Linked DNA regions of Saccharomyces cerevisiae S288C. Changing the gene in region 4 together with the main gene of any one other region gives a genetic interaction. Each region holds a gene or a part of one and is shown on either strand. Other genes may lie near its edges.

Region 1 (8,709 bases), on a different chromosome or scaffold from region 4:
TGTCCTTCTAGTATAAAAATAAACCTATCACTTTTCTTAAATATGCTGCAATTTTTCCAGAATGCCTCCTTGCTGTTGATAAATGGCTTCCAATCTTCGCCAATACTAGAATGTGACCGGCTCGTCTCTTTTGTAAAGTCGATGTAATTTTCGTTGGACTTTTCAATGGCATTTGATATTGAAAAAAATGATTATCAATGCTGGAGGGCCCGGCTAAGACTTAACCCTGAAGCTTCTGTCTTTACAAAATATTATATGAATTTATCCCTGAATTTTACATACTATGAAATTTTAGTTTTGGCAAAGAATTTGACACGCTACTTACTCTTGCAACTTTTTCAGACGCATTAGCATCATCAACACGCAACTCATCTTTTGATTCTGTGGCTGTCCTTGCAATATATCGCACGGTAATCCAGGGAACTTTATCCTTTATATCCAGATCGTCAACTTCGATTTCAGAGTTAAAGTTTTCAATGAAATTTCTTTCATGAATATTGATGCTGGAATTATACACCAAAAACTCATTTAGTATGGATACCGTACTCCAATATGAAAACTTTCTCATACATGCTACTACGAGAGATATTATCAATTCACCATTCGTACAGTGCATATAACAGGGGTAATGCCCTTTATCAATCAGAAATTTAACGCATCGTACTACAACATCGTATTCAATAGGAACTGTTTTCTTTTTCCTTTTAATCTTGGGTTTGGTCTTGTCTGCCTTTCTTTCACTTTGACATTTTATATGAATTGTCTTAATGTTATTTTCTTCACAAAACTTTACCATTAGAGGATCAGTGCTCAAAGGTTCTGGTGTCAAAGATAATATGTATTTCAATCTAAGGGTTCTCAGGAATGGGAGATTGATTTCTCGTGGGTAAGATCCTCTATATAAATTTGGCTGTACAGTCGAAAATTGTAACGGAGTCACTAGTGTCATTTTGATACATATAGCTTATTCTAGATGTGTGAACTGGGTATTCATAGCAATTGTGAACCCATAGTTTATATTGGTACTCCTTTCCTTCTTAACAGAGTCTCTTTTTTTCTTTCGCATTTTTTTTGGCCTTACATCAAATAGCGGTGATTAATGATAAAAAGCACTTAGCAGAAGTCATGCAACAAAAAAAGAACACAACATAAGGGTACAGCTAGTGAGCTCCATTGCTTCGACGTTTTAGGATAAAATGGAATTCTTTTATGAAGAACAAGTAGCTTGTATCGAAGATGATAAAATAAGCAACTCTCATACCAAGGAAACTGGATCAACAGAAAACACTGAAAATAACGAACTTCAGAGCCGAGATGACAAAACAAATGAGGCCTTCCAAAAGTTAGAAGAGGAAGTCAATAAACGATATGAAAAGACTACAAGTGCATTCAAAAAGTTAGTAATCGAGAAAGATGACGGAATTGAAATTAACTTGCCAATTAGCAATGAAACTACAGAGACTGCACAAAAGTATTTGAAGAAACTAGACGAGAATATTCACAGCGTGGAAAGTCTAGCCCAGTCATATTGGAGCAAAATGAAAACTAAGAATTTTTGGTCTGGCTTCAGTAGCTTCGATAATGCTGCAGAAAATGACTCTAATGACAAGGATGAGAATTCGAAAGAAAATGAAATTGCTGTGGGTGGAAATAGAACAGAAGCCGAACTAAGGACATTATCTAAAGATAAATCGGTTTATTTAGACAATAAAATGGATTTGCAACTGGACCCGTTTGACGTGGATGAAAAAACTGAGGAGATATGTTCTATTTTACAGGGCGACAAAGATATCTCCAAATTAATGAACGACATCGTACCCCATAAAATCAGCTATAAAGATTTCTGGCACATCTATTTCTTACAAAGAAACAAAATTCTAGATAAAGAAAGTAAAAGGAAAGAAATATTGTCCAAAAAGGAAAAGGAAACGGAGGAAAAAGAAGTTGAGTGGGATGACGAAGAAGAAGAAGAAGATGATGACAAAGTAGAAGCAGTAGCTGACAACAAATCTAAAGGGGAGACGAAAGTTGCTGTGTCTCAAGAGGGATTGAAAGATGTTAGTGACCATGTTGGCCTCGCCAACAAGGATGAGAGCAAGGACGACGACGACGATGATGACTGGGAATGAGTGATTTTTTTCATATAAAAGATATATGTAATGCTATAAATATTTACATACTTTTCATGACGTATTATGGTAGAAAGGAAAATCATCAATCCAAGAGATGCACAGGAGGAAGACAAAATCTGGGCGTGATCTCATCTTTACACCTTCTAAAAAAAAGTTCGTTTGTTACCGTTAAAATAAATCATTTGTATTTAGGGTTTTTTACTTTGACCTTAGATGGAAATAATGATATGCCATGTTGAACGGGAAAAAAAGTGTATAGACAACGGTTTTCAGTTATTTATTCAAATGAATCAAACACCGTAGACGCGGTGATAAAACAAAACGTATGCATTAGAGTTAATTGCATCGGCTTTGTTTTTGACAGGTTTATATTTGGTATCATCAAAATATAGCCATCCCTTCTTTAATCCCTTTTTCACATAGGCTGTATAATGACCACCATACAAAGTACCAAAGTGGCATGCTACACCATATAATTCATACTTAAAAGGTGGTATTTGTCCCCTTATTGGTAGTTCATCGTCATTAACACCTGGAGGAAAAACCCCGTCAAAATCATTGGCCCAAAATGGAGTCAAGTCCAACAAAAAAGGGTATATGACGAAGTCATTATTTTTGTTTAATAAATTATCAAATCTCTTTAAATGGACTATCAGATTCCTCGGTAATCTCGTTATTGTCAATTGTTTCGTGGAGGGCTGCCTTTTTTCACAATGTGGGCACAACCATTGCTCATCCACTTCCAAGTTCTCACATTTGGTGAACTCTCTGAAACAATCTTCAATGGTAATATTATTTCGGGAATTTTTTTTAGGAATAGGGATTGACAGCACCGTAAAAGGTTGGTATGTTGTCGAGGTATGACTACAGACTTTACATTTTAGTCGTGAGGCGTATTGTCCCTGAAATAAGTCGACAATAACACTGAAATCAGTAGTCAAGAATCGTTCCCACTCAATTGACGAGGCAATTCGCAAAGACAGTTTTTCTCTTCTCGCCTCAGCTTCTTGAGAAAGCTCCTTCAAAGGTGGGTTTGAACCGCATTGGTTCAAGTCTTCATGAAGACCATCTAGAAGGAATTGGCAAAACTCTTGGCAGTCCTGTTGGGATGCAGTCTTAAATAATGAGTTAACAGATCCACATGCCAATTTAAATTTTATCGGTGATATGGAAATTTTCTTTGAACCATCAACCTGTTCCTTATACATCATATGAACCAACCTTGCAAAATATTTTGCCAGAATACCTTTCGATCCCAACTTACTATTAATATTGATGTGTTTAGCATATGAATCGTCCAAAAAGATTTGGGTTAATTCGTGTGTACCTAAGATACACTGAATGATACAGTTCATGTAACACGAATTTCCTAGATTTTCCAAACCAACCGCGAAATCAAGGTCATAATTATGAGAAGAAGTTGGTGTAACATCTGTATGATCTAAAGAGTCATTATTAGACAAGGATAGACACGAAGGTTGAATGGTAGAGGTGGCAGAACTGTGTCCATTGGAGTTCATATTAAGGTTCATACTAATTGTTTGCGGGAAGCGTTGTAACTTCGGTGTGGCAGTTCTTGATGGAGAAGTGATGGCCTTCGTGTTGATAGGAGCTATGTGAGCAAAAGAGTTGTGATTCAACTGTTCTCTTTGATTTGTCATAAAATCTGTCTCACTGTTTTTCCAAAGATGTGGCGTTTCCGGATAATTGATTGGCAATGAATTGCCCTTAACTGGGTCAGGCGAATGTAGAGGTAAAGGCGATGGTGAACTAGATATGGACAACGAAGATATAGAATATAAGTTTGAATTTGAATTCTTCGGATTAGGAGACGTATAATTTGAGAATAATTTTTTGAAACTTGAAGATCTTTTTAGCACATGATCATTGTCTGATTGCTGTTGTTGCTGTTGTTGAAGATGATTTAATGGAGTAGGCGCAACTAGCATTTCTTTCATAGAGTCGTCCATTGAATGTCTTATACTGGGAGACATCTTAGGTAAATGTTGTAAACTTAGGCCAGAAGTGTTACCATTAATATAAACACTATCATCTTTAATATTGTTATTTGATGGAAAAGATGATGATACTTGCCTCCCATAATTTGACTTAAGCCAACCTGGAAAACCAGATTCCAGAATGAAAATTTTGGTAAAGTCATCGGATATTGGTTTTTCAAAGGAATGATTCACCAGAATGTCCAACAGGACAGACTGCTGTTTAACATTGTATTCGTTTGCGTCTGTATAGAGAATGATAAACTTGAAAAGATTTCTACTTTGAAACATTTTAATCTCACTATTAGGAGAAGTAATTAATGATTTTTTCTCCAAATCATGATCTGAATATGACATTTTAAAAGAAATAGGCTCCAGGCATATAATATTTTTTGTATCAATATGTGACTTGTTGAATTCCAACCTTGATCGTATATCTATCAGTAGTATCTCCATTTGGGAGGAAGCAGAATTTGCTGATGAACTTATTAGGGAGTTTAATTGATTGGAAGTGATATAGGAACCCGTTCTCATCAGGTTACATTCTTCTTGCTCATGGTTCAATTTTGTTTGTTTTATGGAAGACTTAATGAAACTTTTTATTTTTGCAATGTTTTCATCTTTTAATAAGGTTTCCAGCAAAGTGTTGTAAATGTTCATGAGTTGAAATTCATTATTGTTGTTATTACCGTTGCCCTCATCACTCGTGCTCTTATGTAATTTAATCTTGGCGAATTCACTTAAATGAGGAATATTGGTTGTTACAATAATGTGAATTACCTTGTAGTAAACATAATTTAATTGAATAATCATTACGGAATTTGAACTAATCATTGCACCCTTATTTTTGCACGATATAATATTTTTGATATCTTTCGAGTTCTTCTTGTAAATAGATAAAATATCGATGCATTTATCTAGAAGACTGCTCAAATCTTGATCTTTTGCCTTACCAGTTATGATGAATTCGTTAATTTTAGCCTCTGCAATAGCGGTTAGTTGTGCTATCGTAAGGTACTTCGACCGGTGACGAATACACTCATCCCTTATGGTACTAATAATATTCTGCTCCATAACTTAAGCATGTATCAAATAGTAAAAAAAACTTTGGAAGCGTGCACACTCAGTCTTAAATCTGCCCTATACTACCGAAGATAAATACATGAACTACACGTATCATATAACATCATATCCTTTTTTTTTTTTTTTTTTTTTTTTCTAGGCTTTTACTAATACAAGGGCCTTAGCCATTCGCTAAACGTAATGAACGATATTGAAGCAAATGAAGTAAAACAATGTGGAAAGCAAATAAATAATGGTTATAGTTTTGCACTTATATAGATATCAATAAATGATATGATATGACTAAATACGATAGGACCAGGGGGGAAGGAATATAGATATGTGTATGACAGAAACTACATGCATATACGAGTTTGTACCAAGTGCTTCTTAATAAACACCGTCATCTGGCCTGTTTTGTTCGATTCTAGCGTCATCTCCCTTTTTTTTCAAATCTTCCATTCCAGGTTGCTTATAATCTGGATTCTTGCCGTGTTCCAAAGTGTCCAACCTCTTCTTGTTGCTATCAAACAAACCCTGTTCTTTTTTCTCAGCTTCATCTTGATTGTTCTTTAGGTGAGGAAAGGCGGCCCTAGTGACGATTGAGAAAGACGCCCTTGGCGATTTACGCATCAATTGTCTTGGAGTGCGCAAAAAAGTGGTTCTCAACATTATCAAATATATTCCTGTGTATTATATATGTGATACTGCGGTCTGGCTTCAACTGCTGTTGGAGTATTGTAGGAACAAGTATTCAAGGCCAAAAAAAACTAAGAGCCAACTCAAAGGCCATATCTACCTAATCAAATCTTGGGACCTTTATATACTTATGTGCTTTTACGGTTCCCTTAGATTCTGTACAGGAAGAAGGGGTTGATACAGGAACAAACCCTTTACAGTAAAGGTATCCTTAAAAAAAAAGGAAGGTAGTACGTATATCTCTCCAAGAACTGAAAAGAACCCAATCACCGGAATTAAGCAGTGATATCTCAGTACGGTCAAGGATGTAGGGTAGCACCAGTAGTAATGATTTTAATTATACTTGGCAATTTTAAAATATACAAAAATTATATGTAGTATTTATAATTAGACATTTGTAAAGTGCGTTAAACTAATGATCTAGTTGTCGTATTCTTCCTTAATTAGTTCTCTCTCCATATCGATCCATTTCTGTTCTGCGAAGTTTTTGTCCTTAGCAACATTGGTGTTCTCAGCAATGATCTTGAAACCAACTCTTTCATAAAATGGTATCAATGGCTCGTGAGCAATAAGGACAATTTTGTTACCAATTTCCTGATTACTCAATTTCTGAATGTAGTCAGTTAAAAGTAAAGTAGCCAGGTTTTTTTTCTGGTATTCTGGCTTGATTACTACAGAGTGAATACCAATATGATTACTCGATTCCACTTGTAATTTGCCCATGCTTTCGATAGTAATGTATTCATGAGGTATCTTAGTACCCATAATATGACCAATTAGTGTCTCCTTTTTAACTTCTTTGCCCTCGATCTCTCTGATGAAAAGACCTGAACATAGCTCTGGACAATTGATCAAACGAAAGCTGATAATTTCTTCTGAAGCTCTTTCGTTTGGTGGGAAACCTTGGCTTTCCAAGTTCAAAATCTGCTTTAAATCTTCAATGATTAAGGGTCTAATATACATATGAAGCGGTAGCGTGCTACTTGAGGAGGCCATTTTAACTTTTTATTTAATCGTAATGTATTGGTGTTATTTTTTCTCCGAGAAAAGTATTCTGATGTCCAATTCTTCTTAATCTAGTTTGTTGTAAATTTTTCTTACAAACACTTGCTCCCGCTTCTTGTCCAGTGGGATGTTCGTCGTTCTTCCATTGCTTTTCCATTTTTGCCCGTTCAAAACTATTCTTTTTATGAATTGACAGAAAACCAAAAGCAAGCCGATTTCAGGTTAACCCTTTATTAAAATAAAAAAAAAAAGCATGCATAACACTAATAATATATTATTAAAAAAAAAGCCAATCTATATTATTTAAATTATCCGAAATTACTTTTATTACATTATGACATTCTATAGTCTATGCAAGCGGATCAAAAAACCATTCCATCTTGGTGCCACAAAATACTCTCATGCCAAAAGTGCGAGCTTCGTTTCTTGTATCCACTTTGTCGCCTAACCTTATATGAATCCACTTTTTTAAAACTTTTGGTTGTAAAACAAACCAGTTTATGATGATGAAACTTGTCATTGCATATAAAACACCAACGAAAAGGTCAAATCTATAATGGTGGTCCAGATACATGGTAGCCCACCATTGTAGTATTATATATAGGATAGCCCAGAATTTTGGTATAAACCCATCGTTGACTATTTTAAAAATCCATTTGTTTGTGAAGTTCGTGTCTTCATCATATAAATGGACAAACTGGAGAGGTTTCTTATTGCCATTGCTGTTAATAATGCTGCCGTCGCCGCCGCCGGTGCTTCTTTCATTACTGGATACGGTGAATGAAGATGAAGGGGAGGAGGACCGCTCATTTGAAATATCTACAGGCTCAACGGTACCCAATGGTTCCATCTCTAAGTCGTTAGGGCCAATCGTGGGCGGTATGCTATTGTCACCTTCATCTTCGCTGTCTTCCTCACTCAACTTGAAAGTGGAAGAATCATTATTGTGCATTGTGAAACCTCCAGCATTGGAAAATCTGTGTTTTAAGCTGGTGGACCTTGAAACCAAAAACAAGAAACATTGAAATGCAATGGCGGAGTGTAGTGAAGGAACAGCACCAAACACAATAGGAGACATGTGAAATCCTTTAGTGTTCAAATGAGTACCCAAATGGCTATCTACTCTTATCAAACCGGCAGCAAACCCTTCCTGGGTGTAATTAACATGTTCGGTGTCATCAATACCGTACAGATGAGTAAACCATGGGGAGGCCATTGGAACAAGCAGATGGGTAAGGACCCCCGCTATATTTTGTAATCCTAGGGCAAAACTAAAGCATTTTAAAGTCCCCGGTGGTTGGAAGACGTATAAGTATACAGCTGTTAAAATTGGAGCTGTCAAGTGCAGGATGACATAGGAGAACCAAGCCAGTAAATCCTTGGTCTTAGTAAAGTTTGCATCCGACTGGTAAGCAAAGAAATGATCAATGTTGAGTATAACAAATGTAAACAGGGGCAAGGCAAACGGTATGAAAATTGTCCGAAATCTCTTTTGGATCGGCCGCTGCTTGCGCTTGCAGGGGTAATGAAAAATATTTGCGAACCACTCTAACAGATTATAGTTAACGTGCTTAATGTAATAGATGTAGTACCAAATGGCAAAGGGAATACATATCAGAAATACTAAGAGAAATGCAGAAGATGATATGAATGACCAGAAAAATAGCTTCGAAGTATTATCGGGCAATTGTACAGTAAGTTCATGCCAATAGTCCCCAAAGAGGAATTGATCAGCAAAAAAAGCAAACTTGCTATGAATGTCAGGTCTGAGCCTTATGGGTATCAGACCAGCGCGCTTGAATATAGACAGCCAA
Region 2 (5,621 bases), on a different chromosome or scaffold from region 4:
ATTGAACAAGTCTTGGAAATTAAAGGCCAATGCATTTAATAAAGAAGCCTTGAGCCGAATAAAAAATCTACAGAAACTAACTACTGGTTTAGAACAAGAAGACTGTTCCATTTGTCTAAACAAAATAAAACCTTGCCAAGCCATTTTTATATCACCATGTGCCCATAGTTGGCATTTTCATTGTGTAAGAAGATTGGTTATTATGAATTATCCTCAATTCATGTGTCCGAACTGTAGGACAAACTGTGATTTGGAGACTACCTTGGAATCCGAATCTGAATCCGAATTCGAAAACGAGGACGAAGATGAGCCAGACATTGAAATGGATATAGACATGGAAATAAATAACAATTTAGGTGTTCGCCTAGTAGATTGATCACATGAAATTTTGTGCTATATATATATATATATATATATATATATATAACATAGAGTCGTCATACCTCTCAAAAAAGTGGCGGCCAGGGAAAATATTTAATAGTTTCAGTTCATTCCTTCGTTCATTTACAGTAACTTGTAGGAAATAGACCTTTCAATCCGTCACATTCACCATATGTCCACCCGCTACCGTCATCGCCTCTGATAACAGTAATTATGTCCCCCGGATCAATTGAAATCTCATCATCTCCCTGTGCTTCGTAGGCATATATGGCCTCCATCGTCCTAACAGGTAGTGTACTCCTTCTTGGTGGTGGTACTTCTGGTGCAGGGCCTCTATCATTTGCTTTAACTGTAGCCGCGCTAGATATGCGAATATATGTGGTGGGTACAAGGCCGGTTTCCCCAGTGGTGTCGTTATTTATCTTAGTCCATCCAGAACCCGTATCGCGTGCAACCAAAGAGATTTTGTCTCCTGGCGTAATGGTGATTTCGTCATCATCCTTTTGTACGTATGCATACAACACTTTATTCTTGCCGTCATCACTGGAATTTTGTGTGGTCTTTTTTGTATTGTTGGTACTAGTGGTGCGTATAGAATTATTATCTGAATCTTCACCAGCGTTGTTAGGGGCAGAGCCTAGCCTAGTTCTTCTTGATGTGTTGAAGAGACTTGTTATATGCAAGGGTCCTCCGTTGCCATTACCAGTGCTCCCTCCACTCGAAGGCTTCGAGTCGACGTTCAGGATGTTGTGTTTGAACTTACTGAATATCCCGGATTTCTTCTTTGTTTTGGAAAGATCAATATTGTCTGTGGATAAATCGTATTCTTCAGGAACATTATTCTGAATACTTTCGATTTGAACTTCGGCTTGCAATTTTAATGTTTCGTGTGAGGTAAAGGGTGAAACGACATTTAAGTATTCCTTTAGTGTATCATAAAACTTAGTGGCATTGATATTATCTTCATTAGTTTTCATTTCGTGCTTTATCTTGTTCAAAGTAGACAGTTTGGATAACTCATTTTGAGTTTTATCTTGCAATGAATTGTAATCATTTTCTGCTTTTGCCAGTTTTATTCTCAAGTCTTCAACTTCCAACGACGAGGGAACAGCAAATTTTTCATCATCATGCCATACTGGAGATGGCTTATAGACAAAGTCTTGTGGTTCTTTCCAATTCTTTAGATTGTGCTTGATAAAGATGGCCGTGTTTAAAGAGGGTTTATTCTGCTTGACAACAGAATTTGCCGCCTGGAGTCTTTTGCTGACATTTGCACCCAGATCGTTCTCGACAGAAGCCGCCTTCAACCACAGATCATTTAAGAAAAGGGTCTTTGCCTCATTTACGTCTTGTAGAAGATCTAGCACTTCAGGAACATCTTGAAAATAGTATTTATCCTTAGTTCTATTTGCCTGGTTGATCTTGATTAAATATTCATTTTTACACTTGTTCATCTCCATTTCTTTTTCATCCAACTTCTTTTTATTTCTATCATTAGATGCCTTGGTATACCTATTTCTTGCCATTTCCATAGTGGAACAGGCTTCATCATAGTCCTTCTTCGCTTTTTCCAGTTCGTGGTAAATGTTATCCTTTTTATTAACCATGTCATTGTTAAATCCATTTATCTTGCTCAAAGTCATATCAAGTTTAGTGAATAATCCACTCAATTGATTTGCTACATGATTTTCAAAGTCGGTTGATAACTGATCATGATCCTTGGAAATCATATCAGTCTGAGATAGAATTTCATTCCATGCAACCACACCTGCAGCTTCAATGGACCCTGGCGTGGTAGTAGGTGTGTCACCTACCGAGATAGGAACTGAGGTCGAAGACTTCTTATTAAAGTACTCTGCTGATAAGCGAGATAATCTCTCGCTGTAGTCTTTTTCTAACTTAGCCCTTTCCCGATAAAATTGCTCAATGTCCTTCAACCATTTTAAGTTATTTTGGACCCATTTATGGGTTTCCTTAAATGAATCTTTAATTTCATTACCAATCGATAAATCTGCACTCATTTTTATTGCAAGTAATGTAGTAGTTGGCGTTTAAGGATAGATTTCCGCTCATACAAAATTGATCAATCTGCTACCTTCTTCAAAAACTATTTGCGTACAAACTAAATCTGTCTATTCCTTTGCTAAGCGTATATTCTTTTAAAAACTTTTTATTTTTCTGAAGACCCCGCGAAAGCTTATGTAGATCACAAGATATTATATATATTTACTATTTGTAAAATACAAAAGAGGGCAATAAATATACCGGATTATGAATCATCTAACAATTGCAGTTTAGACAACAATTTCAGATTCTATGGAAGTGTAGCGTTCAAAAAATTCCTTAAATAACTTGATTTGGAACTCCAGGTCTGCAGAGCCACCGGTCTCTCTAATCGAATGCATACTCAACACAGGATTACCCAAGTCTAGAGTTCTAATACCTGTCTTTGAGGCCAAAATGGGGCCGATGGTAGAACCGCATGGTGAGTCGTTAGCTACGACAAACAATTGCAAAGGGACTTTAGCAGCCTCTGCTAGTCTTTTCACCAAGACCAACCCTGGTGAATTGGTCATGTAACGTTGATTCGCGTTAATCTTGATTACGGGACCACCACCCAATAAGGGTTTGTGTTGGCTTTCGTATTTGTTTGCATAGTTTGGATGAACTGCATGAGCAACATCAGATGAAAGGAAAAACGACTTAGCGGAAGTTTCCAATATTGCCGAGTGAAACAAAGGTTTAGTTTGATCAGAACCGTCCCCCTTCAGGATGGACAACCTTTCCAATATATTAGGCAAGAAGTTAGAATCTGCCCCTTGGGCGGAGGATGAGCCAATCTCCTCATGATCAAAGCATGCCATCAATCTAATGCCTGATTCTCGGTCAATTTCTGTGTCAGCCGCCAACGTTAAACCGTGCATTGATGTGAAACAAGATGTCAAATTATCCAATCGACCAGAGAAGACAAACTCATCGTTGAACCCACCTAGAGTGGATGCATTATGATCATAAAGGATCAATTCGAAGTCTTCAATGTCTTCAATTGTATCAATGGCGAGTTCTTTGGCTATTAGCCCCAAAAGTTCTGCGTGATGCCTCTGTACTATCGTTTTTATGGAGGTAAACTCACCGTTATTAATTTCCTTTTCAGTTTTCGCTTCAGTTTTGTCTTCTTGCAGACCACCAATCGGCAACAGTTGAGTTTCTCTATTAAACTCGAATTTTTGATTTACGTCTCTGTCCAGATGAATAGCCAAAGTAGGAATCTTTAACAGAGGTCTATTCAAATCCACCAATCTAGCAATGGATTTGCCAGTTTTCGCATCCTTTACGAAAACTCTTCCGGCAACGCCCAAATCCTTATCAAACCATGAATGCCAAATAGCGCCACCATAAGTTTCCACGCCCACTTGTAAATACTTCTCACTGACTCTTTTAGAAATAGGCTTAATCCTTAATGCGGGGGAGTCGGTGTGAGCACCCGTAATGGCAATTGGATTACCAGGCTCCCACTTTCCACCAACAGCAAACGCAATAATGGAAGAGCCATTTCTTGTCACAAAGTACTTTCCTTTTTGTGCGACGTGGCCAGCCCACGAGTCACGTTCGCTCAACTCTTTGAAGCCATTTGACACCAGATGCTTTTTGATGTTATGAACTGTATGGTAAGGAGAGTGTGAGCTATTTAAGAAACTGACAAACTCCTTTGGGTAATCACTCTTGCATGTTTTGCTGGACATAGTTCTCAGTTGTATCCTGAACATAGAAAAGCTGAACCTTTTATTCTTTCTTTTTACCTACTTGCTCACATAACATGAATTTTTTCTTTCATTCATACAGGAGGAAAACGCCCTTTTTTCTTTCATTTAAGAGCGTGGAGATATCTGCAACTTTTCAGCAAGTATGATAAGGCTAAAATGATAAGGAATAGAAAACCGTAGCCAGAAACTAGTATCTCGAAAGCCAAGGCAGGCTTCTGTTGCAAAAATAAGCAGACCTTAAACTAAAGGAGTTTACTCCTTGGCGGAACACTGAATCACATTATATACGTAAGTTGAACGGGACTATTTATCACGTGTGATTATGTGGTCTCCATGTCAGTCGCAATATTTACAGTATATATAAGGGAAAGAGGGCCAGTTGTAATAATTGTAGTACGTGAAATAACTGTTTCTGAAGTCCTTCACATACGCTTTGGTACGGGATTAACCACTTACTGATAGACCTCAAGGATATCTTGTGAGTTCTTGTCAAATGGTGAAACTGTGGTTTCTATTTTTTTGCGGTGTTTAATTCAGAGTGCGATCACTTGATGGGTTTATGCAACACGCGATATATAAGCATATTGCGCAACAATAGATCGTTGCAATCCCTCCATCTCTTCAAATGTTGTAGTACATGCTATAAAGGAAAGATTGCACGAAAAGAGTACGTAAGATGGTGGACTTGTCAACAGCTTTGATTCATGGCGATGATAAAGATAACAGGGTTACTGACGTGGCGCCCCCAATTAATGTCTCTACAACCTTCCGTTACGACGATGACGACCTAATTCCATGGACAGAGCGTGAAAACTTGGACTTTATGGAGAAGAAGCCCGTATATTCACGGCTAGCGCATCCAAATAGCACCAGATTAGAGAGTATCTTCTCAGAGATCCTCGATGGTTATGCTGTCATTTATTCTTCAGGGTTAGCTGCGTTCTATGCGGCAATGGTACATTACAACCCTAAGAAGATCTTTATCGGACAGAGCTACCATGGTGTTCGAGCAATTGCTAACATATTGACCCGTAATTACGGCATTGAGCAACACCCCTTGGAAGATATTGAAAAATGTGCTTCTGAAGGTGACATTGTCCATCTGGAATCTCCTGTAAACCCATATGGTACCTCTTCTGATATCGAGAGTTTGGCCCGCAGAGCTCATGCAAAAGGCGCCCTGCTTATAGTGGATTCCACATTCGCATCTCCTCCATTGCAATACGCATGGAATTTCGGAGCCGATATTGTCCTATACTCTGCTACTAAGTACTTTGGTGGTCATTCTGACTTGTTAAGTGGCGTCCTTGTAGTCAAAGAGGAAGCAACTTCCCGACAACTAAAAGACGACAGAATCTACTTGGGTACAAACGTGGCAAATTTGGAAAGTTTCATGTTGTTGCGATCCCTGAGAACCTACGAAATGAGAATAACCAAACAATCAGAAAATGCTACGAAATTAGTTAGATTTTTGTC
Region 3 (9,484 bases), on a different chromosome or scaffold from region 4:
AAGAAGAGACTATATTCTCAAAACCTCGTATATTTATATACATATCCTCCAAACAAACTCCCAAGTTTCACTTTCCTGGATTTACCTTGGCATTCCTTTTCCCCATCCTCTTATAATGGTAATCGCGATCCTTAATTATGATATCACAATAGACGAAGGGCACACACCAATTTGCCACCGTAAGGATAGAGTAAGTTAAATGGCTAACTCATTATAATCTTCATGCTAAATCATATAAGGGCAGAGACGAAGCAAAGCGAAAAAAACATATTACAATCATGTCGGGTGCTGCTGCTGCATCTGCTGCTGGTTATGACAGGCACATCACTATCTTTTCCCCCGAGGGTCGTTTATATCAAGTAGAATATGCCTTTAAAGCGACTAATCAAACTAACATAAACTCACTAGCGGTCAGAGGTAAAGATTGTACAGTGGTGATAAGTCAGAAAAAGGTCCCTGATAAACTGTTGGATCCAACTACTGTTTCGTATATTTTTTGTATTTCAAGAACAATTGGTATGGTAGTGAACGGACCAATACCGGATGCAAGAAATGCGGCCCTAAGAGCCAAGGCTGAGGCTGCAGAATTCCGTTATAAATATGGTTATGATATGCCATGCGATGTATTGGCTAAGAGAATGGCTAACCTTTCCCAAATCTATACTCAAAGAGCATATATGAGACCATTAGGTGTTATACTCACATTTGTTTCGGTAGATGAAGAATTGGGTCCCTCCATTTACAAAACTGACCCTGCAGGTTATTACGTTGGCTACAAAGCTACTGCGACAGGACCAAAACAACAGGAGATCACAACAAACTTAGAAAACCATTTCAAAAAGAGTAAAATCGACCATATTAATGAAGAATCATGGGAGAAGGTGGTAGAATTTGCTATTACTCATATGATTGACGCACTGGGTACCGAATTTTCAAAGAATGACTTGGAAGTCGGTGTCGCTACAAAGGACAAATTCTTTACCTTGAGTGCTGAGAACATCGAAGAAAGGCTAGTAGCAATTGCTGAACAAGATTAACATACTTCCTGCCACAACATAATGTGAAATCACACGCGTCAACACTCAATATATGTATGGACACGTTTCATTTAGGATTTATTTTATAGGAAAAAGTAGATCAAGTAATAGAAAATCGAATCTTTTCAAGCCCTTTTGTCGCGTAAATACATCAATACTTTTATATACAAACTGTAAAATAAGTTAATGAAGTGGATAGAAAAAGAAAATAACTAGAAAACATAAGGAATAAAGACGTAAGGGCAATGTTTACAATACTCATCCCAATCTTTTCCGTACTTTCTCTTACATTTTGCTTGGTCTCTGAAGGCTCTGTGAATCAGGACAACAAGGAAGAATACTGGGAAAAACCATGGGAACACCGAGTTGAACCCGCAAGACAAGGCCCAAACGAGAGATTGAGTCCAATCGGCAGTGTAGTGAATTTTTCTAGCCAAAGTGTACCAACCATCAATCAATAGGTACGATCCATTGGAGGTAACCATATACTTTGGATTCTTCAAAATTTGGTATGGCAAAAATGGGAAAGTCTTCCTACCTGTCTTGTCACCAGACATTTGCTTTCTGAAGGCATTTTTCTGAGCATTTGCCGTGTCAAAGAAGTAGTAGGCGCATAATAGAACAACGTACAGCGAAACATTGTACAGTGTAGACCAGTGATATTCAGATGGGTCATGGTAGTACAAATACAACGTACAATGACAGTAAGTGTATGGGACACCGGCAATATTCCAGAAGATCAGCATAAATCCAAACTTTTCGTAAGCCATGTCCCAGGTTGGAACAATCAATTCTTCACCTTTAGCACATGCGTTCGCGTACAACCAATGAGCTAACATGACAACCCCCAATTGTGGTGTCACATAGCCGTAAGTCTCCCACTGCTTCAAACAGGCACCCAAAGTGATAAAGTAAAGGGTGAACCAAGGTAATCTAACCTCGAAAAACATCTTCAAGTCCAAAATCCCCCACCTAGGGTTTAGTGGAGCTCCCATGAAGAAATCATATAGATGGTTTCCTGTCATTCTATGATAGTCATGTGAGATAAATAAAGTCCATAAGTACAATATGATGGAGAAGGCAAACCCTGAAATAATGGCACATGTCATGATCCTCCCAAAACGGTCAATAATGACATACAATCTAAAAAGATTGGTAAAGTGCAAAACCAAGACCAAAGTGGTAGTTACATACAAGGTCCACATGGCATTACAAAAGTAAGGCAATTGTTTTCCCTTCAAATGAGACAATGGTTGACCTTTTGTCCAAATCCCGGGCAACGTATAGTAGAAAATGATCTGAAACACCCAAAATGTTAAGAAAATAGTCCAGTCATACTTTTCTGGGATACCGTTCTCCAAGACTAACTGGTATAGGTGCTTGATAAAGTGCATCCACGATTCACCAGCCTTGGGTAGGGCAACCTTACCGTGATAAAATTCCGCACAAATCCACATATAGTACATTAGCAGTGGAAACCCGATCAGCATACCAATAACACCAGTAGTCCCACCAAACTCATATTCGATTTCATTTGGCTTCAGCCATTTACCCTGAGGCAGGAAATTAACCGGTTGCTTGGACTTTTTCTCCTCTCCCTGCACCTGCAGCTTCTCACTATTATCCTTTGCCATAGCGATGCTAATCTATGTACACTACGTAAATATCCGTATCTGCCTATCTACATAACTGAACTACATTCCTACGTTATTACCACTGTTTGGTAATTTTTCCTCGAGGATATATAATTCTGCTTTTCCATAGTAACGCCAAACGATCGCGTAATACCGGCAATTACGGGATGCACGAAAATAGCGCCAAGGAACGAAAAAGAAATGAGTCTCGTTTAGTTATTAAACGAGAAGAAACGAGCCCTGATTTACATTCTCAGGGTCCAATAGGGCTTTGTTGGAAACAGACGCATACCCTAAATGGAGTTTCTTTTCTTGTTCAAGACCTAATGAGTGGCAATAAGAGGCGCTAATTAAAGCTCTTCAAAACAACCTTATTCGCCTATTACACATGATCAGCCACTCTTTCATTGTCAACAATAGCATGATAGCAGGACCATAGCGGCCATATAGACATTACCAGGAGTGAGTTTTGGCTAAAAAAAGACAATTTGCACATCACTTGCTAACTATTCATCTCAGCCAAGAATATACAGAAAAGAATCCAAGAAACTGGAAGATGCGAGGCTTGACACCTAAGAACGGTGTACATATTGAGACGGGTCCGGATACAGAATCGTCCGCGGACTCCAGCAACTTTTCTACAGGTTTCAGCGGCAAGATTCGTAAGCCAAGGTCGAAAGTAAGTAAAGCGTGCGATAACTGTAGAAAAAGAAAGATAAAATGTAATGGGAAGTTTCCCTGCGCAAGCTGTGAGATATATTCATGTGAGTGCACGTTCAGCACTAGACAAGGTGGCGCTCGAATAAAAAACCTTCACAAGACGAGTTTGGAAGGTACAACCGTACAAGTCAAAGAGGAAACAGATTCCAGTTCGACTTCTTTTTCTAATCCTCAGCGATGTACAGACGGGCCATGCGCAGTGGAACAACCAACGAAATTTTTTGAGAATTTCAAGCTAGGTGGTCGTAGTAGTGGTGATAATAGCGGAAGTGATGGGAAGAATGACGACGATGTGAATAGAAACGGTTTTTATGAAGACGATAGCGAATCACAGGCAACTTTGACATCTCTACAAACCACTCTGAAAAATTTGAAGGAGATGGCTCATTTAGGTACACATGTAACCTCAGCCATCGAGAGCATTGAACTTCAGATAAGTGACTTGCTTAAGCGATGGGAACCCAAAGTGAGGACCAAAGAATTAGCAACAACGAAATTTTACCCTAATAAATCAATAGAAACTCAATTGATGAAAAACAAATACTGTGATGTGGTACATTTGACAAGATATGCCGCTTGGTCAAACAATAAGAAGGACCAAGATACTTCTAGTCAACCTTTGATCGACGAAATCTTTGGTTTGTACTCTCCTTTCCAATTTTTGTCACTTCAAGGTATTGGTAAATGTTTCCAAAATTATAGATCCAAATCCAAATGCGAGATTTTTCCCAGGACCGCCAAGGAAACCATATACATCATGTTAAGGTTTTTCGACGTTTGTTTTCATCACATCAACCAAGGCTGTGTCTCCATAGCTAATCCCCTGGAAAACTACCTACAGAAAATGAATCTTTTACCTTCAACCCCATCTTCGATATCATCTGCAGGGAGCCCGAATACAGCACACACAAAATCGCATGTTGCGTTAGTGATAAATCACTTACCGCAGCCCTTTGTGAGAAATATAACCGGAATAAGTAATTCTGAGCTACTAAGCGAAATGAATAATGATATCAGCATGTTTGGCATTTTATTGAAGATGTTGGATATGCATAAAAATTCCTACCAGAACTTCCTAATGGAAATCACATCTAACCCCTCCGTGGCTAAAAACACGCAGTCAATTGATGTCTTGCAGGAATTCATCCATTATTGTCAAGCTGGAGAGGCGCTAATCGCCTTATGTTACAGCTATTATAATTCTACATTATACAACTACGTGGACTTCACATGCGACATAACGCATTTAGAGCAACTTCTATACTTTTTGGATCTGCTATTTTGGCTATCGGAAATATACGGTTTTGAAAAAGTCTTGAACGTAGCAGTTCATTTTGTTTCAAGAGTTGGTTTATCAAGGTGGGAATTTTACGTGGGTCTTGATGAAAACTTTGCTGAAAGAAGAAGAAATCTCTGGTGGAAAGCTTTCTATTTCGAGAAAACTTTAGCCTCTAAACTTGGCTATCCTTCGAACATTGATGACTCCAAAATCAATTGTTTATTACCTAAGAATTTTCGAGATGTTGGGTTCTTGGATAATAGAGATTTTATCGAGAACGTCCACTTAGTTCGCAGGAGCGAAGCTTTTGACAACATGTGCATATCCGACTTAAAATACTATGGCGAATTAGCTGTCTTACAAATAGTCAGCCATTTCTCATCATCTGTTTTATTCAATGAAAAATTCACGTCAATTAGGAATACATCAAAACCATCTGTTGTTAGAGAGAAACTACTCTTCGAGGTACTCGAGATTTTTAACGAAACAGAAATGAAATATGATGCTATCAAAGAGCAAACTGGAAAATTGTTCGATATTGCATTCTCTAAAGATAGTACTGAACTCAAAGTTTCAAGAGAGGATAAGATTATGGCTTCAAAATTTGTTCTATTTTACGAGCACCATTTCTGCAGAATGGTTAACGAATCTGATAATATTGTCGCCAGATTATGCGTGCACAGAAGGCCCTCAATACTAATTGAAAACTTGAAAATATACCTTCACAAGATTTACAAATCATGGACCGATATGAACAAAATCTTATTAGACTTTGACAACGATTATTCCGTATACCGTTCGTTCGCCCATTATTCTATCAGTTGCATTATTTTGGTATCACAAGCATTCTCAGTGGCCGAATTCATTAAAGTAAATGACGTTGTGAATATGATTAGAGTCTTCAAAAGATTTTTGGATATAAAAATTTTTTCCGAAAATGAGACCAATGAGCATGTCTTCAACAGCCAAAGCTTTAAAGACTATACAAGAGCTTTTTCTTTCCTGACAATCGTCACTCGTATCATGCTTTTGGCATACGGAGAGTCCTCTAGCACCAACCTCGATGTTATCTCCAAATATATTGATGAGAATGCGCCAGATTTAAAAGGTATAATAGAACTTGTCTTGGATACAAACTCTTGCGCTTATCGATTTTTATTAGAACCTGTTCAGAAGTCAGGATTCCATTTAACGGTCTCACAAATGTTGAAAAATAGAAAGTTTCAGGAACCACTAATGTCAAATGAAGATAATAAGCAGATGAAGCATAATTCGGGAAAAAATTTGAATCCGGATCTCCCAAGTCTTAAGACGGGCACTTCATGCTTACTAAATGGCATTGAATCGCCTCAATTGCCATTCAATGGTCGCTCAGCACCTTCCCCAGTGAGAAACAACTCACTACCGGAGTTTGCACAATTGCCTTCATTTAGGTCATTATCCGTGTCTGATATGATCAATCCCGATTACGCGCAACCAACAAATGGGCAAAATAATACGCAAGTCCAATCTAATAAACCAATCAATGCTCAGCAGCAAATACCCACTTCAGTACAAGTACCATTTATGAACACAAATGAAATCAATAACAACAACAACAACAACAACAACAATAAAAACAATATTAACAATATTAACAACAACAACAGTAACAATTTTTCTGCAACTAGTTTTAATTTGGGGACACTAGATGAATTTGTTAATAACGGTGATCTTGAGGACCTCTACAGTATCCTGTGGAGCGACGTTTATCCAGATAGTTAAACGTATACGTTTGTATAGATAAAAGTTCTCAAAAACTTCCTTCCTTTTTTTTTTCTTTTGAGTTTACTTATTTAAATAAGAACATTCTGTTTTCTAGGGCATCTCCTTCTCTTATTTCTTCAACACTATTTACCAGTATACCATAAAGTGAAAATTCCTATTTTTTTTGCTTTGGATATTCATTTGATCCTCAACGAAAAAAAAAATGATGTATTTTAGTATTGTACAAAAGATATTATATGAGGCTAACGTAAAAAAAGCTAAACTGAGGATATATGTATCAACTATGAATCTAAATGTAACATTCCGATGATTCTTTTACCATGAGGTGTATTTCTTATGGGGCCCACCAGTAAAGGCGCCACAATCTCTGATAGTCTTTTATAGAGATAGTCATTTTGCTTATGAGAAATGTCTAATGCTGTCTGTAAAACGTAATTTCCGTAGCTATCATTCAACAATGATTGAATACCCGTCTCGCCACCATTATTTAAAATTTCCAGAATCATTGGCTCCGAAACAATAGCTGTCTTCAAGATTTTTTCAATCACATTTGATCCAAATTTATGGATAGAAAGTTCGATGGCTCTTGGTTTCAACAGGTGGACAATTTTATGCGTATAATCATATTTGTTCTTCTCAGCCTCTTTGGTAATTATATATTGCACCACATAGTTGCCAAATGGATCCAAAGTTAATTTATCAACAAGGGCTAGCAACTTATCACACAGATTGTCACATTGTTCTGTAGTCCCATGATCTAGACAACGTTGCAAAACGCAACACCCGTGTCTATGAGTAGCAATATCAATACAGCTATCAGAGATTGCGTCAAAGATAAACTGGAAGTTTTCAGGCTTCAACCTTTGCAAACATTTTTGAATAACATGATTACCATTTAAATCCTTACTCAACTGGACAGTATAAGGGCGTAAAGAATCAACAACAATCTGTGCTTCTTCATCTGTTTTGATGCATTCAATGAGTTTTTGTAATGCCCTAGTACCATGAGGGTTTAAGGAAATTTCGACAAAATGAGGGGAAGATATTTTTGTGAGTACGATTCTTTGTTCTGTGGTAACCTCTTCCAATAGCTTCTGGATCAAATAATTACCGAATGAATCAGTCATCAATTCAACCGTATAATCCTTAGTTTCTTCAAAAATTGCGTCCGCCGCCTTACTGCCGAGAATATCCAACTGCTTTTGCAGAAAACGACAACCATGTTGGTCTTTACACAATGAGTGAATACTTCCGATATATTGGTCTAAAACTGCGTCCGCAAATCTCGACGACTCCTCAATTTTACGTTGTTTTTCCGCGCTGTTGCTGTTGGTAGCATTACTGTTATTATTATTATTGTTATTATTATTATTATTATTATTGTTATTATAGTAGCCATGATAACTGTTTTTCATATTTTTCATTTTACCAACGTTAGAACGACCTGTGTCTTTATTGTTGTAATTAGAATTACCAATGTTGTCATTGTCATTATGACTTGACATGCTATTGTTATTACGACCATGATGTTTATTATTGGCGCTATTCATTAACGGCATATGATTTTGAGCCAACAAATGAGGCGGAACCATTGCGTTGAAGGGAGGTGGAGTGCTATAAAGCCAGGGAGGAGGGGGGGTGTTTTGCTGGGGAGGTAATATGTGGAAAGGTTGCATTGATGGCCCAAGATTAGGATTTATTAAATCCATCCTAACATTTGGACCCGCCTTGTCGTTATCGGTGGTGGGCTTACCACCATCATTCTTCATATCTGAAAAGGCAACAGAATTTGAACTAGGGTTTAAAACTGGTGCAAGATGAATTGGCGATTGGGTTAGAGGAATTGGAGAATTTGCATTTAGTGAATGACTCGTAGGATTTAAAATCGGAGAGAAAGGTTGAAATTGCGCGCCCATTTCATAAGAATTAGGAAAAGGTGATCTAATACCATAGATAGGGGAGGATATATTATGTGGGTGGCCTGGCATAATAGGATTTGGTTGAAGTAAAGGTCCCCCATATGGATATGCTGCACCATAAGTTGTAGGACTCTCTTTTTTAGCTGGTGCAGTTTTATTAATCAAATCCTCCTTCGAGGTTTCTATTTTGAAATCGGATAATTTCTCAGAAACACTATTGGTTGGGGGTATAAATGACGTTGAGGAGGGAGTATTATCAAAAGATATGGATTGAGTTCTGGTTTTTGCAGTATTGTTAGCTCCTACAGACGGTTTCTTAGCCTTAGAAAAATTCTGCATGTCAGATTGGAAGTCCTTTGACAAGGTTACATTGTTGGCCGCATTGATAAGGTCAGTTGGTGATAAAGCATGAAAAGTTTGTCTTCTGAACGAACTAGCCTTATTATTAGACTCCCTGCCCTTAGATGGTAGGCTTTCTTGTAGAGTAGCGGTGGTTTCTTCAATGGCTACAGATGCTGATCCTGGTACGTTTGAATGAGTCCATAACGGATCAGCCGATGCGATTGGCAATACCTTCATTGAATTGTCATTTATCAATGGGTTTAGATTTTGTCCACCTTGAGTTGCTACCGCAGCACCCGAAGACAGCATTTGAAATGGAAGTGAGTCATTCTTGAATAACATTGGTGGACCGCCTGCATTCAAGGGCGAGCTACTCAATGGTGCTGTTGGATCATTAAAATCAGGGGGCGGAAAAAATGGACAAGGATTATGAGGAACCTGCATCATTTGAGAGTAGGGCATGAAGCCCATTCCACCCATCATTTGTGGATGTGGAAACATTTGCGACGGAGGGCCATTAGCGAATTGAGAATCTTGAGAAACTTTATTCGCAAATGCATTAGAGGTGGCGTTTTCCTCTGGATCATCTAGTTGCAACTGCTCTAAAGCAGAATTGACTGTTTCTGAAACGACAGGGTCTACTGATGGTACATCATCGATTTCTTCTTTCAAACCTTTTGTAGACATAACGTAGGTCCACTTAAAAATGTTACAGCGCTTAGTTCTCTCTTTCTTAAAAGATATCGAGGACAAAGAAACAGTAAGAACGGAAAATGAACAGAGACT
Region 4 (7,051 bases):
CACTACTTTTTGGAGACTTTCATTATACGATATCCATTTCGATAAATCACTATATGACGAGCGTAAGAATGCACTATCCGGAGAAAACACGGGCCACATGTCAAATAGAAAAAAACACCTGATTCAGAATCAAATCAAGGATATTTTGGTTACTGGAATTTCGCATCAAAGAGCCTTCAAGAAAACTTCAGAATTTATATCTGAAAAATCAAATGTCTGGAACAAAGACTGCGGGGAAGATCAAATTAAGATATTCTTGCAGAATTGTGTTGTGCCAAGGGTTTTATTTTCTCCTTCAGATGCTCTCTTCTCTTCGTTTTTTATCTTTATGGCTTTTAGGACAGAAAATTTGATGTCGATATTGAATACTTGTATTACATCAAATATTTTAAAAACGTTGCTGTTCTGTTGTACTAGCTCTGAAGCAGGCAATTTAGGTCTGTTTTTCACTGACGTTCTTAAAAAGCTTGAAAAAATGAGATTAAATGGCGATTTCAACGACCAAGCTTCTCGAAAGCTTTATGAATGGCATTCAGTAATTACCGAGCAAGTCATTGACCTTTTATCCGAAAAAAATTACATGTCAATTAGAAACGGTATTGAATTCATGAAGCACGTCACTAGTGTCTTCCCTGTAGTGAAAGCTCATATCCAGTTGGTTTACACAACTTTAGAGGAAAACTTGATAAATGAAGAAAGGGAGGATATTAAACTACCAAGCAGCGCATTGATTGGCCATTTGAAAGCGCGTTTGAAGGACGCTTTAGAATTGGACGAATTCTGCACCTTAACTGAAGAGGAAGCTGAACAAAAGAGAATACGTGAAATGGAATTAGAAGAGATCAAAAATTATGAAACAGCTTGCCAAAATGAACAAAAGCAAGTAGCTTTAAGAAAGCAGTTAGAGCTTAATAAGTCGCAAAGACTTCAAAATGATCCACCCAAAAGTGTTGCAAGCGGCAGTGCTGGATTAAATAGCAAGGATAGATATACTTATTCTCGTAATGAGCCTGTAATCCCAACAAAACCTTCTAGTAGTCAATGGTCATATTCCAAAGTCACCAGGCACGTCGACGATATAAACCATTATTTGGCCACGAACCATTTACAAAAGGCAATTTCCTTAGTAGAGAACGACGATGAAACTCGGAATTTAAGGAAATTATCTAAGCAAAATATGCCAATATTCGACTTTAGAAATTCGACTTTGGAAATATTCGAAAGGTACTTTAGGACACTCATTCAAAATCCTCAAAATCCAGATTTTGCAGAAAAAATTGATTCGCTTAAAAGGTATATTAAAAATATCTCGCGCGAGCCATACCCAGATACGACTAGCTCATATTCTGAAGCTGCTGCTCCTGAATATACCAAAAGATCAAGTAGGTACAGCGGAAATGCTGGAGGCAAAGATGGTTATGGTAGTTCCAACTATAGAGGACCAAGCAATGATCGTTCTGCACCCAAAAATATTAAGCCAATCAGTAGTTATGCACATAAAAGGTCAGAACTACCAACTAGACCTAGTAAAAGTAAAACATATAATGATAGAAGTAGGGCACTTAGACCCACAGGTCCGGACAGGGGCGATGGTTTTGATCAAAGGGATAACCGCTTACGTGAAGAGTATAAGAAAAACAGTTCACAACGTTCACAATTACGGTTTCCTGAAAAGCCATTTCAAGAGGGCAAAGACAGCAGCAAAGCCAACCCTTACCAAGCTTCATCTTACAAGCGCGACTCGCCTTCAGAAAATGAAGAAAAGCCGAATAAAAGATTCAAGAAGGATGAAACAATTAGAAACAAATTTCAAACGCAAGATTATAGAAATACACGAGATAGCGGTGCTGCCCATAGAGCCAATGAAAATCAAAGGTACAACGGAAATAGAAAGAGCAATACTCAGGCGCTTCCGCAAGGTCCCAAGGGTGGGAATTACGTCAGTAGGTACCAGAGGTAATTACTAGTACTTAACATACCCGAGCTGAATTTTAACGTGTACTTTGATAGTTCCCGAATTGTAATCTCGTGAAATACAAAAGGTCCAGCTAATGCTCGTATAATCACTCAAATAAGTTTGTAGAATTCTATTGTATCCTTTCCCACACAAAAGGGGATGTAAAAAGCATCAAAAACATCGAATGAAATTTGTGCATACACATAGTGTTATAAATTTACAAAAAAGCGCTTATGAATCGAAAAAGACTTTCAACAAAAATATTATACAATGTCTTGCAAATGGTACTAATGCGAATATTTAGTGACTACTTCGTCCACTCTACTTAACAAACCGTTCTTTCTTTTATCGTCACACCATGAACCTTTAATGGCGTTCTTAGCGATACGACCCCATGTTTCATGGTCCCAGTGTGGGAAATCTTTCGAAACTTGAGTGTAGACATCTAAGATATAACCACCAAAATAGGCGGGGTCATCAGAATTTAAAGAAAATGGAACATCTCTGTCAAGAAACTTTTGTAGTGGTAACTCTGAAACGGATTGGACTACTTGTAGCTTCACGTTGGAGAGAGGACAAATAGTTAGCATGGTCTGGTCGCGCGACAACCTATCCAATAACTCCTCGTCGTATTGACTGTTGATACCGTGATCGATTCTTGTTACTTGCAACAAGTCTAAAGCATCCGAGACGAATTGAGCGGGGCCTTCTTCACCTGCGTGTGCAGTTAGTTTTAAATCTTTATTCAATGAGGCGGCCTTTCCGTAACATTCAACAAATAAATGTGGGGGAAATGGTTTCTCAGCAGAATCTAATCCTAAGGCAGAGATAGTACCATCTTTAATAAATGGGGTAGCTTCTTCGATAGTTTTCAAACATTCCTCTGGTTCAATGTGTCTTAACAGACACATAATTAGCTTGGATGTAATACCAAATTCAGAGAAGGCTTTGTCACAAGCTCTTTGGAAACCTTTAGTGACTGTTTCTATGGAGATGCCCCTAGATGTATGTGACTGAGGGTCGTAAAACACTTCAGCATGGACCAAGCCTTGTTTGTGAACTTTTTTAAAATAGGCCCACGCCAAATCAAAGAAATCTTGTTCACTAATCAAGACATTAGTACCAATATAATAGTAATCTAAGAAATCCTGCAGATCACGAAACTTCTTATACTTTTCGTTTAATTCCTCGACCGATTTAGGAAAACCTTCAGGTAGAATTATATCGTTTCTTTTAGCTAATGGGAACAATAGGTCAGGTTCTAGAGTACCTTCCAAATGCAAGTGATGCTCACATTTTGGTAACTCCTGTAAAAACTCCACAGAAACCATTATTTTTTTTTTCTTTTCTTTTGTTAGTTCTAATGGTAGTTATTATTTCAAAATAACTATAAATACACAGGCCTGCTTGTCAATTATTCATTTGCAAAAGATGTCGCTTTCATAAGCCTTATATGTTAATTTTTTTCAATCTTCGTTGGCATGCGATGAGGTCAGTTTCCTGCGCCATTTCAGTGCAGTTTCGAGAATTTTAAGATTCAAAAAAAAAAAAAAAAAAAAAAAAAAAAAAAAAAAAAAAAAAGAAAAGAGATGGAAACAGTGAAAGATAAGGCAAAAAGGAAGTATATCAAGGTTTTTACATCAAAATATGTCTTCTATAAGCGATGAAAATTTGCAACCAAAGCAAAATAAACCTTGTGCTCTTTTCCTGTTAACAGCATATATAGGGTATATAGAGGCTTTCTTAAAGAAAATTTCTTGCTATCATGCTCTGGAGATGCTGTATATTATAGTGTGCACAGTTAAAGTCATCGATTATGATAATAACATAAGACAAGAGAAGTAATACTAACGTCTCCCCTCATCATTCGGAGTTATCAAAAAAAGAAAATATATCAAATATTAAAAATAAAATTATTAAATGAAGCGTTACATAAAGATTAAACATAAAATCATAGTCTGCTTGAGTATATCATTATACTATATGGTCAGTGTTCTTAGTAGAAGAAGCGTCGGAAGGCGTAGAATTCTTTTCTGCGTCTGTGTTACCCACAATCTTATCATCAATGTTTTCATGAGGAGGTGGCATTTGTGCCGATGTTTTAGATCTGATTGGTTCTGGGATGTAAGCAGTGGATTCCTCGTATGTAAATTCACCAATTTGAGCAGCGTCGGTACCTAATTCTTCCTCATCAGCACTTAATCTTAGTTTTAAAAATGGAATGGCATTCATAGTTAGAAGCAAGATAGATGTGACAGTAACAGTCCAGGCTAGTGCAGCGCATATACCTGCTAATTGATAACCAACTTGTTTATAGTGATGATTGATCCAGCCACCATCAATTGGACTAATGTAAGAGCCTGCAGTGGCATTTACATAGTCTGCAGCAAAGATACCAGTTAATACAGAACCAATACAACCACCCACACCATGGATAGAGTAACAATCTAGACCATCATCGATGCGCAATAGACTCTTTAAGTCAACAGCAAGGTTACATCCTGCACCAGTAACCACACCAATGACAACGGCTGACCAGATTGGCACGAACCCGGCGGCTGGGGTGATACCCACTAGGCCAGCGATGATACCTGAACACAAACCAACTGTAGTCCACTTTCTTCCGCATCTGAAATAATCGATAACCATCCATGTCAAGCCACCGCAAGCAGCAGCTAAGTTTGTGGACATAATAGAGTACCATGCTCGTATAGTTGCATTACCTGCAGAGCCTCCGTTAAAGAACATCCAACCAAACCATAAGAACACTGTGCCTAAAACCACCGAGGTGACGGAATGTGGTTTGTACTTGGGCATCCCTTTACGTGTAACAGGGTCATTACGCTTACCCAGTATCAAAGCGTAAACTAGACCACCATGTCCAGATGTTAAATGGACACATAAACCACCTGCATAGTCCAAGCTACCCAATTTGACCAACCAACCCTCGGCATTCCAGACCCAGCATGCAATAGGACAATAAACAATAGTCATCCATAAAAACAAGAACACCATCATAGGAAACAACCTTGCCCTCTCGCAGGCACCACCTAGCATTAGGGCACCGGTGACTGCGGCAAACATACCTTGGTAAACGGCAAACAGTATATCGGGAAGAGAACTGACACTAGATGGGGCTCCTAAAACGTTACGAAACCCAAAGAATTCCAAGGTACCAATAAAACCGTTACCTCTAGTGTTGTGTGAGAAAGCTAATGAGTATCCCCAGAAAAACCATTGGAAAATACACACGGCGGAAGCCATCATCGAGGCCCAAAGCAAGGATAAAGCATGCTTTTTCCTGGATAAACCAGAATATAATAAACCGATACCTGGGACCATAATCCACACACCTGCTGAAGCCACACCGATCCATCCCATGTTGGCCAAGTCAAATTGTGTATTCAAATCTGTTGTCAACGAGTTACCACCCGTTCCTTCGCCTGTAGGCGTACCTGTAAAATTGTAAGACATTGTTGATATTGTATTGTAATATATTAAGTATGATATATTACAAAACTAAACTTCTTTCAAAGCTCTGTGCAGACTTATTATTTAAGAAGGATATTTAATTTGAAAGGACGTGAAAGCACGAATGATTACTACCCACTGATGTTTGGTTAGCACATGTGTAACTACTGCTTATATATGGTGCAGAAAAGTGGCTCGGAATGAACACCTCTTGTACTGAATACTTCATTGATAAGGCACAGGGTCTTCACGCCGCTTAGTATTCGTCGATGCGTGAGCAATTGAAGCTTTTTACGAGGGAAATAGTCGATTTTACATTTCTTATCTTATCTGGCTTTGACTATTACCAGACACTCTTGATAAGCAGTAACAGCAGTAAGAAGAGACCGAAGGATTCTTCTTTGTTATCGGAAAAAAAAAAAAAAAAAAAAAAAAAAAAAAAAGATGTCTTATCTTATCTTTCTTATCTTAAAGACCTACCATTTGTTCCTTTTCTATTTTGGCAGCCCGGGTATTCGCAAAGGGAAAAAAACCCAAGACAGCATTCCTTGTTCATTATGACTATTACAAAGCCAGGAATGATTTCGATGGCCGACATGAATTACGTCGTTTCCAAGAACAGAAGCTTAAACCGTCCTGCTGAGCGGGGCGGTAATCGGTGACCAGGCAGCCTATAAAATGAAGTTGACAACCGAGTAGGCTATCACGTATGCATGGAACGTATATTTTAGCGTGACCAATGCTGAATGATGATAGTCTATAGCTGAAAATATTATCCAATAATATCAGAAAAAGAAAACTCACCAGCACCAGTGCATCCAATCTGTATTCTGTTAGTATTCCTGATACAGTTATTTCCCTCGTTATGGCTCATTCAGACGCCAAAAAGAGCATAGAGTTAGACAACATTGGAGGGAGTAGCTCAGTTACTGTTGACAGTGGCTTTCACTAATAAAAGCCATTGCAATATGATAATGACTAGCAGAAATTTAAATATTAACAGGATTCTTCTTGGATGAGAAACGTACATAATTTCGCAAAAAAGAAAAAAATATTTACTGCTATAAATCCTGTCATCAACAATAGTTTTCTTCCTTGCCAACGTCCTTTAGCACAAATCTCGTAGGTTCTATGCTTAACAGAGCGTCAACAGAAGCGGGTATCGGCTCGACGTGAATAATGGAGATTGTTACATCCATGTGCCGCTCTACCCATTTCATTTCTACGCCTCAATAAAATGTATGAAAAATGAAAAGATGTAAAACAAAACAACAGTTCCGTAACCGCGGAAAGTTGCGTCTCGTAAAAGGAATGAAAAACTCATATACATTCACCAGATATGTTCTATGAAACTCGAAAGCTTCCATCAATTCACACTAAGCTACACGGCTCCTAATAAGCACTGTAATTCCATCAAATGACAGCGTGACTTCTTGAGTAGTGTAGAACCACTCGTCCCACTAAATCACAGCCCTTAATCCGTGCACAGTGAGTTAAAATATGACTTTATTCATGTAAAACGAAATTTCATCATATACTCGATCTTTGTTCTGCTGTTCTTGAGATGTAAATTACGTGAATTCCTCCGGTTAACACCTTCAGAGTCGCATGGTCAGTCAAAAA

The links.
Region 1: of AAH1 (region 4) and DOA4, changing one suppresses a phenotype caused by changing the other (phenotypic suppression), as found in Saccharomyces cerevisiae (2 studies listed by BioGRID, with this or other methods).
Region 2: mutations in AAH1 (region 4) and BZZ1 together harm fitness more than expected from each alone (negative genetic interaction), as found in Saccharomyces cerevisiae (2 studies listed by BioGRID).
Region 3: mutations in AAH1 (region 4) and PDR1 together harm fitness more than expected from each alone (negative genetic interaction), as found in Saccharomyces cerevisiae (2 studies listed by BioGRID).

Annotation. Positions count from the first base shown.
Region 1 is NC_001136.10:582,517-591,225, forward strand, and holds DOA4 (ubiquitin-specific protease DOA4), read right to left. Parts: upstream 5,204-8,709; coding exon 2,423-5,203; downstream 1-2,422. Other genes in the region: OCA6 (protein-tyrosine-phosphatase), read right to left, coding at 275-949; DOS2 (Dos2p), read left to right, coding at 1,197-2,129; FMP16 (Fmp16p), read right to left, coding at 5,582-5,863; PAA1 (polyamine acetyltransferase), read right to left, coding at 6,311-6,886; IPT1 (inositolphosphotransferase), read right to left, coding at 7,245-8,709. UniProt on the Saccharomyces cerevisiae protein: Ubiquitin thioesterase that acts at the late endosome/prevacuolar compartment to recover ubiquitin from ubiquitinated membrane proteins en route to the vacuole. Also removes ubiquitin from soluble proteins targeted to proteasomes.
Region 2 is NC_001140.6:334,864-340,484, reverse strand, and holds BZZ1 (Bzz1p), read right to left. Parts: upstream 2,403-5,621; coding exon 501-2,402; downstream 1-500. Other genes in the region: ubiquitin-conjugating protein DMA1, read left to right, coding at 1-376; APE4 (aspartyl aminopeptidase), read right to left, coding at 2,676-4,148; YHR112C (putative cystathionine beta-lyase), read left to right, coding at 4,822-5,621. UniProt on the Saccharomyces cerevisiae protein: Plays a role in endocytosis and trafficking to the vacuole. Functions with type I myosins to restore polarity of the actin cytoskeleton after NaCl stress.
Region 3 is NC_001139.9:466,042-475,525, reverse strand, and holds PDR1 (drug-responsive transcription factor PDR1), read left to right. Parts: upstream 1-3,227; coding exon 3,228-6,434; downstream 6,435-9,484. Other genes in the region: SCL1 (proteasome core particle subunit alpha 1), read left to right, coding at 279-1,037; ERG4 (delta(24(24(1)))-sterol reductase), read right to left, coding at 1,250-2,671; PUF4 (Puf4p), read right to left, coding at 6,719-9,385. UniProt on the Saccharomyces cerevisiae protein: Positive regulator of proteins involved in permeability. PDR1 and PDR3 jointly control the transcription level of both SNQ2 and PDR5.
Region 4 is NC_001146.8:355,833-362,883, reverse strand, and holds AAH1 (adenine deaminase), read right to left. Parts: upstream 3,289-7,051; coding exon 2,245-3,288; downstream 1-2,244. Other genes in the region: THO2 (Tho2p), read left to right, coding at 1-1,960; YNL140C (uncharacterized protein), read left to right, coding at 1,398-1,967; ammonium permease MEP2, read right to left, coding at 3,932-5,431; YNL143C (uncharacterized protein), read left to right, coding at 5,698-6,090. UniProt on the Saccharomyces cerevisiae protein: Catalyzes the hydrolytic deamination of adenine to hypoxanthine. Plays an important role in the purine salvage pathway and in nitrogen catabolism.